4 linked regions of the Nothobranchius furzeri genome follow. The protein of the gene in region 1 purifies or fractionates together with the protein of each later gene. This does not show direct contact. Links are inferred from orthologs where the notes say so. Each region holds a gene or a part of one and is shown in the gene's direction. Other genes may lie near its edges. The genes, in order: protein c-Fos, stk40, cop1 and ep300a.

The links.
Region 2: the proteins of protein c-Fos (region 1) and stk40 purify together in Homo sapiens (affinity purification with mass spectrometry; 3 studies listed by BioGRID and IntAct, counting the BioPlex papers as one, with this or other methods). This does not show direct contact. The link is inferred for Nothobranchius furzeri from reciprocal best matches to the Homo sapiens genes FOS and STK40.
Region 3: the proteins of protein c-Fos (region 1) and cop1 purify together in Homo sapiens (affinity purification with mass spectrometry; 4 studies listed by BioGRID and IntAct, counting the BioPlex papers as one, with this or other methods). This does not show direct contact. The link is inferred for Nothobranchius furzeri from reciprocal best matches to the Homo sapiens genes FOS and COP1.
Region 4: the proteins of protein c-Fos (region 1) and ep300a purify together in Homo sapiens (affinity purification with western blotting; 3 studies listed by BioGRID and IntAct, with this or other methods). This does not show direct contact. The link is inferred for Nothobranchius furzeri from reciprocal best matches to the Homo sapiens genes FOS and EP300.

The regions. Positions count from the first base shown.
Region 1 is NC_091742.1:2,308,867-2,313,689, forward strand, and holds protein c-Fos, read left to right. Parts: upstream 1-1,937; 5' UTR 1,938-2,086; coding exon 2,087-2,221; intron 2,222-2,491; coding exon 2,492-2,710; intron 2,711-2,799; coding exon 2,800-2,907; intron 2,908-3,023; coding exon 3,024-3,674; 3' UTR 3,675-4,152; downstream 4,153-4,823. UniProt on the Homo sapiens protein: Nuclear phosphoprotein which forms a tight but non-covalently linked complex with the JUN/AP-1 transcription factor. In the heterodimer, FOS and JUN/AP-1 basic regions each seems to interact with symmetrical DNA half sites.
Region 2 is NC_091745.1:70,998,687-71,003,011, reverse strand, and holds part of stk40 (serine/threonine-protein kinase 40), read left to right. Parts: intron 1-96; exon of another isoform or gene 97-218; intron 219-2,293; exon of another isoform or gene 2,294-2,497; coding exon of another isoform or gene 2,498-2,605; intron 2,606-3,243; coding exon 3,244-3,367; intron 3,368-3,742; coding exon 3,743-3,828; intron 3,829-4,325. UniProt on the Homo sapiens protein: May be a negative regulator of NF-kappa-B and p53-mediated gene transcription.
Region 3 is NC_091751.1:60,897,160-60,902,019, forward strand, and holds the start of cop1 (E3 ubiquitin-protein ligase COP1), read left to right. Parts: upstream 1-1,797; 5' UTR 1,798-2,030; coding exon 2,031-2,353; intron 2,354-2,428; coding exon 2,429-2,488; intron 2,489-3,171; coding exon 3,172-3,269; intron 3,270-4,169; coding exon 4,170-4,234; intron 4,235-4,355; coding exon 4,356-4,475; intron 4,476-4,860. UniProt on the Homo sapiens protein: E3 ubiquitin-protein ligase that mediates ubiquitination and subsequent proteasomal degradation of target proteins.
Region 4 is NC_091756.1:27,956,239-27,960,563, reverse strand, and holds part of ep300a (histone acetyltransferase p300), read left to right. Parts: intron 1-688; coding exon 689-839; intron 840-925; coding exon 926-1,072; intron 1,073-1,176; coding exon 1,177-1,290; intron 1,291-1,415; coding exon 1,416-1,581; intron 1,582-1,676; coding exon 1,677-1,844; intron 1,845-1,991; coding exon 1,992-2,153; intron 2,154-3,458; coding exon 3,459-3,740; intron 3,741-3,830; coding exon 3,831-4,325. UniProt on the Homo sapiens protein: Functions as a histone acetyltransferase and regulates transcription via chromatin remodeling. Acetylates all four core histones in nucleosomes. Histone acetylation gives an epigenetic tag for transcriptional activation.

The DNA.
Region 1 (4,823 bases):
TCACGCTTTTCCTCAAAGTGCGTCATTTATCTAACTTTTTACTTCAATTTATTAATAAAAATGTGAGCTATTTTCTCTCAATGAGGACTTTTTTTATTTTATTTTCAGGCCGTTTTCTTGTAAGCATGTCACAAACAGTCAGATGAATGATTTGGAAGCTTATTTTCCTGCAAGTCAAACAGAAGTCAAACAAGCGGCACGGTTACCGATGAGGTGTCCCGTTTCATTCCGCTGCTCTGGAAGCAGCAACAGCCTGAGATGCACAAAGCAGAGGGAGCTCTCACTCTGAGGACGTTTACCGGAAACTTCAATGACGTCGTTACGTTTTGCGTGCATTGCTTTTAAAATGTGTGCGTTCGTTTCTCGGGGCAACAGTGTCAGGTTTCACTATTGAAGTGGTAACTCTGGCAAAAACCAATGATCTTTGCGGCCACATGCAAAAATGTTCACGTCAAGGGGTTGGCCGTTGCTAGGGCAACCAGGAATGTGCACCAAAACATGAGCGCGGTAAACGAAACTAATCTGCTGCTGTTTGACACAATAACACCGTTTTGAACTCGTTATTAATGACATTTCAGATTAATAATAGTTTTATATTTTCAATACATTGAAAGTCAGTTATTTCTGTTGTGGTTTTTACATAATGTGAATATTTTTGCACTTAAAATGTCATTTCTAATGCTAAAATAGGAATTAATGATTTCATTTGGAATTAAAGGCAAAATCTCATTTGTTTAGAGCAAAAATCCTCACATCCCCGTTCTGAAACGCAGGAAAAAACTGTGGTATTTATGTGAAGAAAAATACATTTTTACAAATTATGATGAACAATAAACTTAAAATTTGGTCTGGGTGGTGACTCGGTTCAGCTCTGCACGTTGCCAGGTGTCAAAAAGCGAGATACTTGAGGATTCCCTCTTTACAGGTGCAGTCTGCTTTCGATGAAAGCACACACACACACACACACACACGCACGCACGCACGCACACACACACACACACACACACACACCTAAACTTCCTTTGACGTATGTTTAGCCCTCTTTAGCCTTCCACCCATAGGCTTGGCACTTTTGAACAACCTCAGGAAATGAAATATTTCTTTAATAAAAATCCGTTCCTGCAAGATAATTAGGCTCTTTTTTAAACAATTTATTGGGTATTTTACCCTCTTCCAAAATCCAAAACAGCTCTTTGAGATGTTAACACAACATTTGATAGCAAACACTGTACAATCACTTGTTAGCACATTTAGAAAGTATAAAACTGCTCAGAATGATTTTCAAATATTTGATTATGTTTAACTTCACAGATTTTTAGCAAAAAAGTGATGTGAAGAAAGCTGCACGTGCTTTCTGATAGTAGATCATGTTTATATATATATATATATATATATATATATATATATATATATATATATATATATATATATATATATATTTTAGATGGGTTGCTTATGAAAACATGGATTGTGGTTATTTTAGTTTTGAACCAAACTAAAAATCTGCTTTTTCTACTTGTAGTGAAAACTATTCCGTTAGCTATGATTGTAGTTTACTCACAACAGCCTCTGTGTTTGTAGTTTTACATAACGCCAGGCTGCTGCCGCTCAGACGCTCAGATGGTGTTTCCCATCAAGATCCGCCCACCTCGCAGGAGGATGCACCATATATGGTAAACTACGTATCGGGGATTCCTTGATCTGGAATATTCCACTTATTGGTCGCTGGCTTTAAAAACAGACACGTTCTCGTCGTAGAGAGGTTGACAACACGCTTCTTGGTGATAAGCTTGTCGTATTTAGCGTGTTGGGTTTTTGGCTGCGTTGTTATGCTAGTGTTTATGGTTTCCTCCTGCCGGTTTCAGGTTGAAGACACGCCCCCAGTCGACGTCACGGCCTGGTGTATAAAACCGCTCCGAGATGCCGGAGTTGGCAGATGAAGTTTGAGCAGCAGAGCAGCGACTAAAGGAGTACGATCCACAGGAGCGCTTCCAAACCTGCAAAAGGGATTTCCTCGTCTCCCGTTTACATTCCCCTGAAGTAGTTTGTTTGGATCTCCCGAGCTTCTTTTTAGCGCTTTGAAAGGATGATGTTCACCGCTTTCAACACGGAGTGCGACTCTTCCTCCCGGTGCAGCACCGCGTCCCCGTGCGGGGACAATCCTGGATACTACCCGTCACCGGCGGGGTCTTATTCCAGCATAGAATCTCCACAATCTCAGGTAAATACGCCATTTATGTTATTTTTTTCCCATAATGACTTAAAATAATTTTTTTTTAAAAGTTCGTGGGTGACAGAAATGTTGTGAAATAAAGGGGCAGTTAGTGATTCAATCATGCCATTTTCATGCATTCACCTGGAAACTCCATAGAGAGCATGTAACGTCACAGCTGACATCATAGGGATATTTTTAAATTGTCCAGTTTTTTATAGCAATATGCTGCTGCAACCCCCTCCTCAAACTAAACCACCTTTCACTTCTTCCCTGCAGGATTATACTGAACTGACAGCATCAAGTGCCTCCTTCATACCCACAGTCACAGCCATCTCCACAAGCCCTGATCTGCAGTGGATGGTGCAGCCTCTGGTCTCCTCCGTGGCCCCCTCTCACAGAGCTCACCCCTACAGCTCCAGCAGCCCCAGCCCAGCCTACACCAGCACAGCTATGAAGTCTGCATCCAAGGTTTCCAAGAGAGGCAGAGTGGAACAGGTGATTATCCTCTGCAATATTATGGATTAACTCAAAAGTGCATTACGGAGCAGGGATGTTAACTTTTCTGTTGCTTCTATGATGTGCAGTTGAGCATTGAGGAGGAGGAGAAAAGAAGAATTCGCAGAGAGAGAAACAAGCAGGCAGCAGCTAAATGCCGCAACAGGAGGCGAGAGCTTACAGACACCCTCCAAGCTGTAAGTATCCCGCCAGACTTTGCTTTCACTTATCAGAATGTTTTCACTGCCAGAGCTAATAGCAGTGCATTCCAGCAGCCGACTAAATGCCTCTTTTCCCCTCCTTCCCCTGGCAGGAAACTGATCAGCTGGAGGATGAGAAGTCTGTCCTGCAGAATGACATTGCCAACCTGCTGAAGGAGAAGGAGAGGCTTGAGTTCATTCTGGCCGCCCACCAGCCAATCTGCAAAATCCCCTCAGAGCTGGACACAGACTTCCACCTGTCTTCCATCTCTCCTGTCCACTCCTCCATCCCCTCTTCCCAGCCTGTAAAGTCCGCCGTCACTTCTAGTCAGCCAACTTTCACCTCAGCCTCCAATTCCCTCTTCTCCAGCAGCACCCCCATCCTCTCCACCACAACCATTTCCAACAGCACAGTCAAGATGACCGACCTGGACTCGTCTGTCCTGGAGGAGTCTCTCGACCTGCTGGCAAAGACGGAGATGGAGACGGCTCGTTCAGTCCCCGAGGTCGACCTGCCCAGCTCCCTTTACACAAGTCAGGACTGGGAGCCCCTCCACAGCTCAGCCAATAATGCTGACTTTGAGCCTCTGTGCACACCTGTCGTGACCTGCACTCCAGCATGCACCACCCACACGTCTTCATTCATGTTTACCTTCCCAGAGGCTGAGACCTTCCCCTCTTGTGGCGTCGCTCACAGGAGAGGAAGCAGCAGCAACGACCAGTCCTCCGACTCGCTCAACTCCCCAACCCTGCTGGCCCTTTAAGGACTCTTCCTGGATACATCGTTCTTCCTTAACAAGCACATTCTCCTCAGATATACGTGCACATCAAAGGGCAATAGCACAGACTTGTACATGGAAGCATAATTCTTAATGATTTTATCTGCCTTTATATACAAATATACTTGCCTATTACACCATGTAGCAAGTTAATAAGCATGTTTCAAACAATAGTCGTTCTATGAGTTCCTCTGATTATATGGTGCTAGATAACTAAACGTATTGTTTACTGATGTGTTTTAAGAGCAATACTTATTTATTTTCTGTTAAACTAGAGTAATTATGACATGTTTGTGATAAAAAGACAGGTGTGATTTTGTCTTAACCATGGTCTGAGTGGTCTTTAAAATATGAAGTTTTCTGTGAAAACATTTGTGCTTTTAATTTATGAGAGTTTTATTTTTTTACAAAGTATAAAAATGTTGTTATATATGTGAATAAAATTTAGCGATATTTAAATTCACTTCTTTTGTTTGTTGGACTTTTAATATTATTTATTTTATCAAGTATTTCCGCCCACGTGTCAAAGGACGTTATGATAATGCCCCAAATCGGCCTGAACAGGGATAGCGGTATTTTTCCTGCTCCTTCCTGCTCTATTTATTGTTCCGTCTGTTGCCAAGGTCTGCTGTACGTCAGGGCTGTGACGTCAGTGCGTTTTTTCCTTCTTTTTTTTTCAATTTGCAAATTATGCGCTGTTGCGTTACTTCCGTGCCCAAATACGGGGAGTCGCTGTTGCAGTCTGTGAGCAGAACCAGAACGGACGGTCGGACCCGATGGGTCGGACACAAAAGCGCACCAAAGGTTTCCTCTGAGCCGAGAGCAGCTGCTGGCATGTTCGCCGGAAGACGGAAAGAAAAGCTGTTGCCTTTATTCCGCAATCCAGGCCACATTGTTTCTCACGTCTCTACTGGCTACGACAGCTTCTGCAGACGAAATCACCAGACAGCAACGCTTCAACCACAAAGCTGTGTTTGGTTCTGCAAAGGAAGGTCTGAATGCGTCAAGATGCGTCTCTAAACGCAGCCAGACGCACGAAGAGCACGCTCGTCTCAGAAATAGACAACAATATGCACTTAATGCAGGAGACAATGCTCATTTCTATAAATGCATCTCTTTTGTGATATAAGTAAC
Region 2 (4,325 bases), on another chromosome or scaffold:
GGAGCAGGCAGTGCTGCCACCAGCGGCAAAGAAAAAAACGCTTAGAGACCTGCTGAAGTCACGGACAAGGACGTCTTCTGCAACTGTCCCGAAGAGAGTTAGAGCCGAGCTGGAGCTCACTCGCTACCTGCAGGAGGAACCCATTGACCCTAATGAAAACCCTCTGACATGGTGGCGCAACAACCACGAGAGATTTCCATTGCTCTCCAAAGTCGCATGTAAGTACATGTGTATTTGCGCAACAAGCGCACCATCCGAGAGGGTTTTTAGTGTCGCTGGAAATGTTGTCACCACTCTCAGATCCTCTCTCAAACCGCATAAGGTTAACATGCTGGTGGTCCTTGCGCGTAACAAGGACATGACCGAGTTATAAATCACAGTTACGCCGGGGACACACCGGCCGCGGAAGCGCCGCGAAAATGGGACCGCCTTCATTCGGTGCCCTTGTTAAGCTATTCTAAGCGTCTGATCTGAACTGAGAAACGGCGAGCAGCGAACGAATTTCGTGAGCGATTCGCTTCTCGGCGCTTCCGCGGCCGGTGTGTCCCCGGCGTTATTCTTGTGTGTGAAAGTGAACTGACTGTGCCTGGGACATCTCATTTTGTTAGATGTTGAAGCCAAATTTGCATTTCAAAGTTAAACCTCCTGAATGTTGTTTTTAAGTTCAGTCAGAGAATGCCGTTACTGCCCTTCGATCTGCATTTAATAAAGTGTCAAAAATGGCCATGTATTTTTTCTAACATTTTTTAAATGTGTAAGCACAATGTTTCAAAGGAAATATTGCCATGAGTTTAGTAATTAACAAACAAATTTGCTAAGTACATAAATAAAAACGGGGTGCAATAATATCGCATACCGCAATATTGAGCTGCCCTGACTCACTGCAGGGGGAATTCCTCAACCGCGACAGCCCTAGTCTCCGCTTTGTTTTGGTTGTTTTGGCGTTGACATCATGCTAGCACGCAACGTTCTGTGACTCTTAAAAAAACAGTAAAACGGTGAGAAACGCTGGCAGCGAAGGCCGTTAGCGATCAGGAAACGGCTGGCAGTGAATGAGTTAACGATATTGTGTTATGATACCAAAGCAAAATTTAAAAGCACTGTGTTTGTTTTCTAACGGAGAATATACATGCCCTTATTTACTGTGTTTCTTTTGTTTGGTATAATTCAAACTCCGACTGCTAGGTGGCAGCGGTTCTGACTGCTTTCATTGTGACGGAACCACGAGATCTCACGATAACTCTGGATGTGTCTTGGAAGTAGCCTGGCCTGCCAGACTCCTCCTCTGTTTAATTCTGCACAGAGAAAGGGTCTGGCAACTCTCCTGTTCAAATAACCCCACCTCGTGAGAATTCTAACCGAGCCAATCAACACTGAGTAGCATACGACACACACCATAACGCCGAGTTTGTCGAACATGGCGACTGAAGCGGAGTTCGCTGCGCCTCTTTCCCCTGTTCTCAATGACTTGGACACAACAAGTAGACGCGCTAAAAGTCTTTCTTCTAAAGAAAGATGTTTGCGCTGTCCCCAGACTCCATTTTAACTACAGCTAAACAACTACAGGGTCCCGGACGTCACACACAGCGACGCTCAGTTCCTCATAAACAATAAAGACAGCAGCGGAGTTCGCTGCAGCTCTTTCCTCTGTTCTAAATGACTTGAATGTCTCTAAAACCACAATTAGAGGCGCTAAAAGCCTTTCTTCTAAAAAGAAATAAAAGATGTTTGCACCGTTGTTAGACGCTGTTTTTTTTTTTACTACAGCTAGAAAACTACAGCGCCGTGCGATATGGTCGGGATTTCAGTCTTTTTTTCTGATTGGTTACTTTTGAGCTGCCTAGTCCCGCCCCTCATGCGCCTCTCTGCCTGTGAGTTACCAGACTCTCTTCTCTGTGCAGATTTAAACAGAGGACGAGTCTAGCAGGCCAGGCTATCTTGGAAGCATCTGGCCTGATATTCCGATTAAGTCCAGCCTCAAATATCTCATGGCTTTCAGTATCCTTTTTCTCCAACGTCACCTGATCACATGGGTCTGCCATATCAGATGGCAAAGGCACAGTAAACAGTGAGCAAAACAATGTTTAGTATGGCTTCATCTAGTTCAAGCCCAGTTCACTTGTGGGCCGACTTTGTCTGCTAGTTCTGCCAACTGCACAGCAGCTATTACCATTTTACTGTGAAAACAACTAAATGAAAGCAATAAAAGCCACAAACTGGTTTGTTTTGACTAGCTTCAATGAAGTTTCAACATGTGTGAACAGTCTTTTTACTGTCCGCCATGTTTAAGGGGGTGGTCCCATGAAGAGCAGCCTGATGTCACGTGCAAAGGGTCAATATGTCGTACCGCCTCCCCTGTAACGTTATACAAATGGCATCACCAGATACTCGCACATGTTAGAGGTTTGGAGACACCTTGATTGGTTGTCACCCAGACATTTAAATATTTCCATCCAGTGAAAACTTGGGATGACTGCAGGGTGGCTCATTCCTCTCGATGTGTGGCTCTACTTCCTCATTACGAGAAACAGATGGTGTTTCATCACACAGACGTTCGGTATCAGCTGAAAAGAATGCACACCTCTCACTCGCTGGCTTCAGGAAGGTAAAGGAGATCGGCTCGGTCGGTTAAAGTAGCTTAACAGCGATGTGTCACACTCACTGGCATGCACAACCCTGCTTCCTTATCGCCCTGCCCACAAACCTGGTGGCTTTTCTTTTATATTTTACATTTCTGCCTTGGTAAAACATGCACTCCCTTTTAAAGTGAGGTCTGTATAGATAAGCCGGCTGTGCAGATTAAAAATCCAGGGATTTTCTAAACCCAAGTCCACCGCTGCAGGATTAAAGAGACCAACCATGAAGACTTCTGTTTGGCTCGTTTTGTGCTTTTATGGAGATTGAATCTGAGGTGTTGCCCTTGACACCAACCGCCATTATTTTAAATGGAACCTTAATGGGTTTGCTTTAGCATTGAGGTGTGTAAATGTGTGTGGAGGGGGCAGGAGCTGCCCTGAACTCTCTTTACTCATGACCAGCCTGCGTGACCTCTGCTGAAGCTCTACGTTCGCTCTTAATTCTTCATTAATGCCGTTTTTCTTAAATTACCGTCTAGATTCTAGACTTTATGACACAAAGTGTTACGATCTACCTTTTAGAATGTGTCTTTACCACCAGGTGTGTGTTTTCCCTCTTACTTGACTATCTTTAGCCCACAAACTAATCAGATTTGTTTCCTCGTAGAGCTCCAGGATGTCCAAGCGGCGCTCGTCAGAGAGGGGAGCTGGAGAGACGTCGAGGGCCAGCCAGCTGCAGTGTCCCGGGATAAATGGCAGTAATGCCAAGAGAGCTGGCCCCTTCATCCTTGGTATGGGATTTTATTACCACGTTTTACCCAAAGTGTTCAGAAGAAGTGGCAGCATTTATTTGCAGAAAACTCGGGAGAACTGTGAGCTGCGGAGGGCTTACCTACTCCCGCCTGGGACAAGAATTTGAGGAATTTTGCTGATCCCCATGACATTGGCCAGAAAGGCCCAAGTCTGAGTTGGAACAACTTTTCTTCCTCCATTCTTTCTCGTTGCCTGTTTGTTTTTCTGTGCCTAAGCTATTTGCAGCATTTGGTGCCAAAGGCAACGTTACACGTTGGGTGTTGATGGGCACACGCACATGGAGCCCTTAATGAGTTACAGTGAGAGCACATGCTCTTTTGCTTACACAGCTGTTCTTTTCCTTACCCTTGCAGGACCTCGCCTGGGCAACTCACCGGTGCCGAGCATAGTTCAGTGTTTGGCCAGAAAAGACGGCACAGACGACTTCTATCAGCTGAAAGTAAGTCTGTCGGAGTCTGTGCGTTCTTTGCTGCGATCGCTGTTTCACTTTTGTTCACACAGTCGCTTAAACCTCAACAGGCGATGCAGAGTCAAAGCAGTAATGTCTCAGAAGATCCTCGAACCTTTGACCTTTCTTTGGTGTTCGTTTTATTGCCCGTCTTTCACAGCAGAATGTGAGCCTGGAAGCATCTTTACTAGGATCATCTGATGCTTTTCTAACAACTCGGGGGGGCTCTAAAGTAGGGTGAGAGGATAAAGAAGGAAAGGAAAGCCGTTCACCTGGACGTCCTCTCCAAAATCACCATTTGGGTGGTGAAGCCCGGGGCACACTGTGCTTTTCAGCTGTTGCACATGACTGTTTCACGCCACGAGGCACAGTGCACGGTCCAAGATGACACCGAACCAAACTGCACGATGTCTCGCTCTAGCAGGACACGCTAACGTCATGAGCACACTTGCAGAAAAGCAAACGTTACTAAAAGCCGACAAACGGCC
Region 3 (4,860 bases), on another chromosome or scaffold:
AGCTGGAGCTGAATGCAGGAAGCATTCAGGGGCAGAAACCCTGCAGCTTACATTAATGCAAAAATGTATTTTCTAACACTTTAAACGTTTTACTTTGACGACGTAAAAGCAAACAAATATCAGCAAAATACAAAGAAATTGACATGGTGGTCCTTTTCTGTGAAATCTACCAACTTTTCCATGCACCTTTCCTTTTGCTGGGAAAAAAAAGTTATTTCACAGCCCAACTGAGCTCCACTATGATAAACTTCTTCCGCAAACAAAAACATGGGAAAATCCATGTCTTGCATGCCTACGTAGACAACCCCCCTCGTGTTTGTCTAAGTAGAGGTAAAGGTGGAAAAACAAGTAGCAGGTTGAATAAACTGTGAGTGAATATTTTAGTGCTTCTTGTGTTTTATTTGCAGAGCTGCAGGTGGATGCCTGAAAGACACAACTCTGTGTATCTTGGCTTAATCACTGATTCTTGGAGTGACCAAGTAAAAGCAACTAAAATATGAGCCTCTGAATAAAATCTAGATTTGAAAGGATCAAAAAATGTAAAATGAAGTAAATATGGTTTTGTTGATATTAAATTTACAATTTAATATTTTAGGGGGGGAAATGGATGCATGGATATTTTAATCTTGCTTCTGCCTGCATTATGAATATCAACCTTGTTCTATATTCATGGTTATATGATATTACTAATTTAGTTTTAGAAAATGAAAACGGAAAACCTAAAGACGTATCAATGGAACTCATGAACACACACACACACATGTCTGTCTTTCTATCATAGTGAGGACTTTCCATTGACTTCCATTCATTTTTGTGACTCCACTATGCCTAACCCATACCCATACCCTACCCATAACCAATGCTGAGCTATTGCTAACCCTATAACAACTTAATTCACACCATATCTCTAAAACCCGCTGGTAAGCTTTTTTAAAAAATGAGGACCAGAAAAATGTCCTCACTTATAGGGAAAATTGTGAAAATGGTGTTCAGTAATTCCCCTCAAGAAATCACATCACTCATGTTCTTAAAAACCTACACTGGTTGCCAATAGGATCATATGCAAGATCCTACTACTTACATTTAAATCTGCATGGCTCCACTTTATCTATGTAATTTACTAACTATTGCTACCACTTCCCGATCTCTTAGATCCTCATCTGCACTTCATCTGGTTCAACCTCGAGCTCGCCTTACCACCATGGGGAGCAGAGCTTTCAGTTGCTCTGCTCCACGGCTCTGGGACTCACTTCCCTCTGTCATTAGAAATACGGACCCTTTTCCATTATTCAAGGGGCACACCTGAAAACCCACTTATTCAAACAAGTTTATTCCCTTTAGACCTAGACTTTAGAATTGTTTCAAAATTGTATGTATCTTGTTTGTTTTTATTGCCCTATCTAACCTCTGTTGTTTTTTGTTTTTATCTTTGTAAGGTTACCTTGGGTTTGAGAAAGGCGCCCTCAAATAAAATGTATTATTATTATTATTATTATTATTATTATTATTATTATTATTCAGTATGTAGTAAGTACTAGAAAACACACACACACACACACACACACACACACACGTGCGCGCGCGCGCGCCGTTGGCGAAATGCATCCTCTAATTGCACAAACTCCTCTCCGCTAGAGAGCGGTAATTGAAAACACGGGGCAAAGTGGGGATCCTTCTCTGCAGTTAACAGGAGAAGAAGAAGAAGCTAACGGGAACTAGCAGGCTAATCTCCACAACGCTGTCGTGGTTTTGTGATTCCCTGTTTCAGTATTCGTGTTTTTTTTCCCTCACATATTTTTGTGTTTTATAACTTGGTAACCTAACTATACCCAAGTGACAAGCGCCCGACAAACACCGGTGGACACGGTTTACAGTAGCTCTGTATGAGCACTTCTGCTTTTCTCCCAGGATACTAGCGTATCACCAAGGCAGCTAAGTCGGCTAAAGGAGCCCAACAACAGCGCTGTCCGGATGCTTTGAACAGCAACGGAGCCGATTTTTGGTGGAGTTTTCAAAGCCGGTCTTGCGTGATGTCAAGCAACCGGCCGCAGTCAAACAGTGGCGGGGCAAGTTCGGTGCCTAGCACCAGCAGCAGTAGCGCAGGAGGCAGCGGGAGCACCACCGTAACAAGTAATGGTAACTCTTCTGGGAACGTTGTACCCTCCCGGGCTATAGCAGCCGGCGAGAGCGGCTTGTCTGTACCAACTCTGTCCGCCGTTTCGTCCCGGGGCGAGTTCTCTTCCCTCAGCAGACCATCTTCAACCTCGGGAAGCAGGAAGAGATCCCTCCATCCAACACCTTTATACAACGGCCTGTTGGATTCATACGAAGATAAAAGCAATGACTTTGTCTGGTGAGCTCTCTGTCAGCTAACCGAGACTGTGCTGTGAAAGCTGAGTTTCTGATTCATATTTGTCTTTTCTTTTAGCCCAATTTGCTTTGAAATGATAGAGGGGGCGCACATGACAAAGTGTGGCCACAGTTTCTGGTGAGTGTGGAGCTGCAGCTCGGGTTGAATTGAATGAAACACCTTAGAAACACTATTCACTCACAGATAGTGGCTGTTATTCATGTTGTTTACAGTTAGGAGTCCGTTTGAACGGCGAATCTACTAGTTTTTAGTTATTAAAACTAACATTTTACATTCGTTTTCGCAAAAACTGTTAGTAAGGTGATTCTAATGAAATGCCCATCAAATAGATGGAATAGGTCAGTTTAAAACTAAATGAATGCAATCCTTATTTAACAAGTAAAGATCCTTGAGATTTAAAATGCCGTCTGCCAGAGTTACCTGGCCCAGACAGGCAGCGGCAGGTGATTGAATGTTTAAAAAATGTTGAAAAACCAGTTTGAATTCTGTCAGTGAGACATATTCTTTCAGATTGAGTCAGTTTTGGAGCTAATTCCTATAATAAAGGGCAGAATGTTTGAGTAGCTTAAAGGGGAACAAGTCGTGTCCACACCTTTGGTTTGTTTGGGGGGATCTGAGTATAATCGGAGAAAACCAAGAGTATTTTTTGAAGTGAGAAAACAAATACAATTATCAGTTGTATTGGAAAGGTCAGATTTTTTGCGGCAGACACTAGAGGGTGAGTTTTTTTTCATTCCGTGATTTTTAGAACAGACTTGTGTTTATTTCTGTGTTAAATGCTCCCCTTTCCCCTGTTGCAGTTTCAAGTGTATTCACAGGAGCTTGGAGGTCAGCAACAAGTGTCCCAAGTGTAACTGTATTATTGACAATGTGGCTCAGCTGTACCCCAACTTTCTAGGTGGGTGTTTTAAGTTGGATGGTTGTTTTTACAGTCATCATTTTGAGAATTTAGCTAGTTTCGTTTTAAAATAGGGTTGGGCATCGACTGGAACCGGGACCAACTGTTAGCTTTTTTTGGAATCGTTCAAAGTTTTTATTTTGATTCCTAGTAAGCCGACCGGAAGATGACACCAACACTCGTGTGTGTGTGAGCGTCAGAAGGCTGAACAATAACCTGTAAAGTCATCGTGCTAGAGCAGCTTTCTCTGTGGTGGACCACACCAGCTTCTGCCACAATAAATAATAATAATAAATCACATACAAAGTTGTGAAATTTCCTTTCTGAACTATTTCTGTTGAGAGTTTTAATGTTTAAATCTGTTAGATTGTTACTGACAGCAGCTGCATTTAAGTTTCACTTTCTGTTGTGACTGAATGCTGCTGCAGCATGGAGGTGTAGTTCTCAGTCATCCTGGACATGATCATCCTGAGAGTTTTAGCTGAAAACAGTTGCACGTTTCTGGATATGTTGGAGACATTTAGCCTCTCATCCCAGAGGCTGCTTCCAGACTTTGGTTGTGGTCAGAAACAAACACACTGGTTGTGCTGCAAGTCTTTTTCTTTTTTTCTCCAAAACATGTTTTGGTCTAAATGAAGGTGATGCTGTTGTTCATAGAATTAAAATTCATGTTGAAGTTAAGATTGTTTCATCAAGTAGGACCTGTGGTTAGCTGGCTCATGTAAAGCATGTCATGTCTTGAAAGAATCGGAATCGGGAATCAATAGGAACCAGAATCGTTCAAAATCAAACGATGCCCAACTCTAAAAATGTGATCAAGTCGGTGTTATCCTGCTCAAAGAAGGAGCTTATGTTGTTTCTCCTTGTCGCCCTCACTCTGCCTCTGCTGCCGTTTCCCAGTAAATGAGCTGATTCTTAAACAGAAACAACGGTCAGAGGAGAAGAGACTGAAATTAGATCATCCGGTGAGTGGTTCACATTTTATTCCTGCTTTGTCTTTTCCTTCTTTGTGACTCTCAAACTTGCAGACTTGTTTGTTTTAGAAAAATCTGTTTCTTCCTGCTGATCATTGTTTTCGACCCCTAGAACGGGCCGCAGTGGCAGGTCTTTCAGGATATTTTGAATCCGGATCAGGAGAACCTGGACCTTGCAAATGTCAATCTGATGTTGGAACTTCTGGTTCAGAAGAAGAAGCAGCTGGAAGCGGTAAGTCATTTTGTGCGTGTCTGCGAAGATGATTGTAAGAGTCATTTGTAGCCCATTCCTCGTTACCCTTAGCTAAGCAAGGAAGTGTGTTCCGAGTATAGAATTGGCACATGTGGCTGCAGAAATAATGTGCAGGCTTAGAATGAAATGCATAAAGGTTACTGCAGTAGAGGGAGAAGGTCAGATGTGAGGGTAGGAGATGTTCTCAGAAGAGTTGGGGCTTTAAGAGTTTCCTGGAGAGAGACATGGATGCCCCTGTTCTGGTTGAGTGACATGGGTCACGCCATCATCACGGAACGACACACCAAAAAAGTCAGAGTTGTCTTGAGTGTGACATCAGCACCCCTAGTCAATAACCCTCTAGTGACTGGAGTTTTGACATAAA
Region 4 (4,325 bases), on another chromosome or scaffold:
AGCAAATAAAACAAAAGACAAATACAGAAAGAAAGAAACGCATTAATGATTAAAAAACTTAAAGGACAACTCTAGTGTCTTTTTTTTCTTTATGCATTTCTAAATAATCTGATCATGACTTGGTATCGGCAGATTCTCAAAATCAAATGACTCTGAATCGGATCGGGAGCATTAACACGTGATCAATTTTAGGTAAAGATCGAATTGCAAGTTTTCTGGCAGAAATTGCAATTTCTATTTGATTCATGATTTTCTTCAAATTGAGGTCCAGCACTTTCACAATGTACAGTAACATTAACAAATATGGCAGGAAATGACATCATGCCATGTAAACCTTAAAGGCTATTGCTCTAATAATGCAAGGAGGCAATCTGAAGGTAAGAACTGTTTTCAAATGTACAGAAACACACATGCAGAGCCCCCCACCCCCCACCCCCCCCACCCCCCACCCCCCGAATGTTTAGGAGATATTTTGAGATAAATGTATCTGTCACACAAAAGGACTGATTCCTGTACAGGCCTGTCCTGCTGACACAGATTTAACCAAGAACTGAAAACCTTCTCCTTTTGTAAAATTTGATTTACTAGAAAATTATGATTCAGGAAGTAAATTTTTCCAGATGGACAGGTTGTTAATGCTAGCAACAAAGCTAGCTGTTCTTACAGTTGTTGACTAACTGTCTCACAGGGTTGCCTCAGACGAGGCTGGGGAGTTTTCTGGAGACGAGGGTGAACGACTTCCTGAAGCGTCAGGCCCTTCCAGACTCTGGAGAGGTCTTCATTCGTGTTGTCCATGTCTCGGATAAAGTGGTGGAGGTGAAACCAGGCATGAAGTCCAGGTAGGAAACAAAAGACACATGGACAGTTTAACCTCCCACAACTGTTCTTGTTTGGATTTTAAGGTTATTGATGCTTTTGTCTCCAGGTTTGTGGACAGCGGAGAGATGTCCGAGTCTTTCCCCTACAGGACAAAGGCACTTTTTGCATTTGAAGACATTGACGGCGTGGATGTTTGCTTTTTTGGGATGCATGTCCAGGAGTACGGATCAGACTGCCCTCAGCCCAACCAGCGGTAAACATGACGGGCTTTTCAAACAAAAACACTGCAGCTTCTCCTCTTTAAATATACATAAGCAACAGTTTATTAGCCTTGAACCCTTTGTTCTGTCCTCTCAGGCGAGTATACATTTCCTACCTGGACAGTGTACACTTTTTCCGGCCTCGCAGTCTAAGAACAGCAGTTTACCATGAAATCCTCATTGGCTACTTGGAGTACGCCAAGAAGTTGGGGTGAGTCCTGAGACCAGACTAGTGTTCAGCACTTCTCCGGCTGGGAAAATTATAGTAATGTTTTCATTTAGACGTCTCATTTTCTCGTTAGTAAATACGTTTTGGTCCCTTTTCTGTGTCCTTAGCTACACCACTGGTCACATCTGGGCTTGCCCACCCAGCGAGGGTGATGACTACATCTTTCACTGCCATCCAGCAGATCAGAAAATTCCCAAACCCAAACGCCTTCAGGAGTGGTACAAGAAGATGTTAGACAAGGCTGTGGCTGAGAGGATCGTGCACGACTACAAGGTAAATGCTCTTTTTTAGCAGCGTTTATTAACCATGCTTAAAATGACTCTTGATTAGTGCAAAACCCTAATTTACCTCTGTACTCACCCTGAAAGGATATCTTCAAACAAGCGACGGAGGATCGTTTAACAAGTGCCAAGGAATTGCCTTACTTTGAGGGTGACTTCTGGCCCAACGTGCTGGAGGAGAGCATTAAAGAGCTGGAGCAGGAGGAGGAGGAGAGGAAAAGGGAAGAAAACAGCACTTCTAACGAGAGCATTGATGTAAGACTGAGTCCTTGTTCATCACCTCTGATCCTACGTGTGTTTTATACTTAAGAACGGCCTAAAAATAAGGCTGGCACTGTAGCTTGTTGTTTAGACGATCACTGATTTATTTTCTTTTTTTCCCCAAAACACTTTTATGTGCAGGACACAAAGAGTGACAGCAAAAATGCTAAGAAGAAGAACAACAAAAAGACGAGTAAGAACAAGGGCAGCTTGAGCAGATCTAATAAGAAGAAGCCGGGGATGCCCAACGTCTCTAATGACCTTTCTCAGAAACTTTATGCTACTATGGAAAAACACAAAGAGGTAGGAGCAGAGGAATATGCACAAGATGTCTCCTGGTTCTGCTTTTTTCTTTGTGTCCTAAATGTTTCAGAGCAGCAAACACATTTAGTTTGTAGTTTTCCCTGTAATCAGAAGGTTGCAGGTTCAAACCCAGGCTCTCAGTTATGTTCAATTCAAGTTTATTTATGTAGCGCCAAATCACGACAAGAGTCGTCTCAGGGCACTTCACATGGTAAACATTCCAGTACAGGTCAGTTCATTAAGCCAATCAGAAATAATGTTTCCTATATAAGGAACCCAGCAAATTGCATCAAGTGGCTAACTGGTGTCAGTGACTTTACAGCAATCCTCATACTAAGCAAGCGTTTAGCGACAGTGGAGAGGAAAACTCCCTTTTAACAGGAGGAAACCTCCAGAGGATCCTGGCTCTGTATAAGCAGCCATCCTCCACGACTCACTGGGGATGGAGAAGACAGATGTTGATATAGAGCAACAGATGTTGTATCCATGAGCAAGATACTTAACCCTCCTTGCCTGCTGGTGGTCAGAGGAATTGGTGGCATCTGCCTCGTCTCCATCAGAGCACCAGCGTGTAAATGTATGGAGCGCTTTGGAGTTCTCAGACTCAGAAAGGCGCTTTACAAATGTAGGGTTGGGAATGATTTGAATTTGAACAATTCCGGTTCCTCGTTTCGATTCCGGTTCCTATCGATTCCCGATTCTGATTCTTTCAAGAGTAGGGTTGGACATTGATCGGAATGAAGGCTATCAGTTTTTCCTGGAATCGTTCAAATTTTAAAATTTTGATTCCTAGATTCCATTTCCAGTCCACGCTGTGTTTGACTGCTGTTGCTGTGTGTGTTTTTATTTCTGCGGTGAGCCTTAAAAACTCGCCTCACTTTGCCCAGAGTTTGTTCTTTAAAACCGGGTCTCTGCAGGCTGCAAAGTAGGAGCGACAGACGTGGTATGATCGGCTCTGAAAGGCGTTGATCAGATTTTTCAGATCACGTTATTTTTTTTACGAAAATCAGCCTCAGATTCTTCTTCTGGTCTGGGACTGGGAATTGAAACAGAATTGAAATGACAAAATTTGAACAATTCTGGGAACAACTGACAGTTACTCCTGGTTCCAATCGATGCTAGATGCCCAACCCTATACCAGTGTTGGATGTTCATCGCGTTTAGTCCGATACTGAATTATTTGCTGATCTGAAGTATTTAAAGCAAAAGAGAGAAAATAGAATAAGCCTGTATTTATACACTTGTTCTTGCATAACTCCATTTAAAAGGTCAACTGTCTGCTCTGCCTTTGTCTTCCTCCTCTAGGTGTTCTTTGTGATCCGGCTAATTGCCGGCCCCATGGCGAATGCCTTGCCCCCAATTATCGACCCAGATCCCCTGATGGCGTGTGACCTCATGGATGGTCGTGATGCTTTTTTGACTCTGGCCCGGGACAAACACCTGGAGTTCAGCTCTCTGAGGCGGGCTAAGTGGAGCTCCATGTGCATGCTGGTGGAGCTGCATAACCAAAGTCAGGACCGCTTTGTTTACACCTGCAATGAATGCAAGCACCATGTGGAGACTCGCTTCCACTGTACCGTTTGTGAGGTAAGTCTGTCTGTGATGTCTCAGAGCTGGTTGTAAACATTGTCGTACTTTCATCAGACTTACTCTGCTGCTCATGCCCCTCTGTTGCAGGATTACGACCTCTGCATCACGTGCTACAACACTAAGGGCCACGAGCACAAGATGGACAAGCTAGGGCTCGGTTTGGACGATGAAAGCAGCAACCAGGCTGCTGCGACCACTCAGAGCCCCGGAGACTCACGTCGCCTAAGCATCCAGCGCTGCATCCAGTCTCTGGTCCACGCGTGCCAGTGCAGGAACGCAAACTGCTCTCTGCCATCATGTCAGAAGATGAAGCGTGTCGTTCAGCACACAAAAGGTTGCAAGAGAAAAACCAACGGCGGCTGTCCCATTTGCAAGCAGCTCATTGCACTGTGTTGTTACCATGCTAAGCACTGTCAGGAGAACAAGTGTCCTGTCCCGTTCTGCCTGAACATCAAGCACAAGCTGCGCCAGCAGCAGCTGCAGCACCGGCTGCAGCAGGCTCAGATGCTGAGGAGGAGAATGGCCAGCATGCAGAGAGTAGGTCAGCCCAATCCAGGGATGCCACCTGGAGGAAAAGGTCTG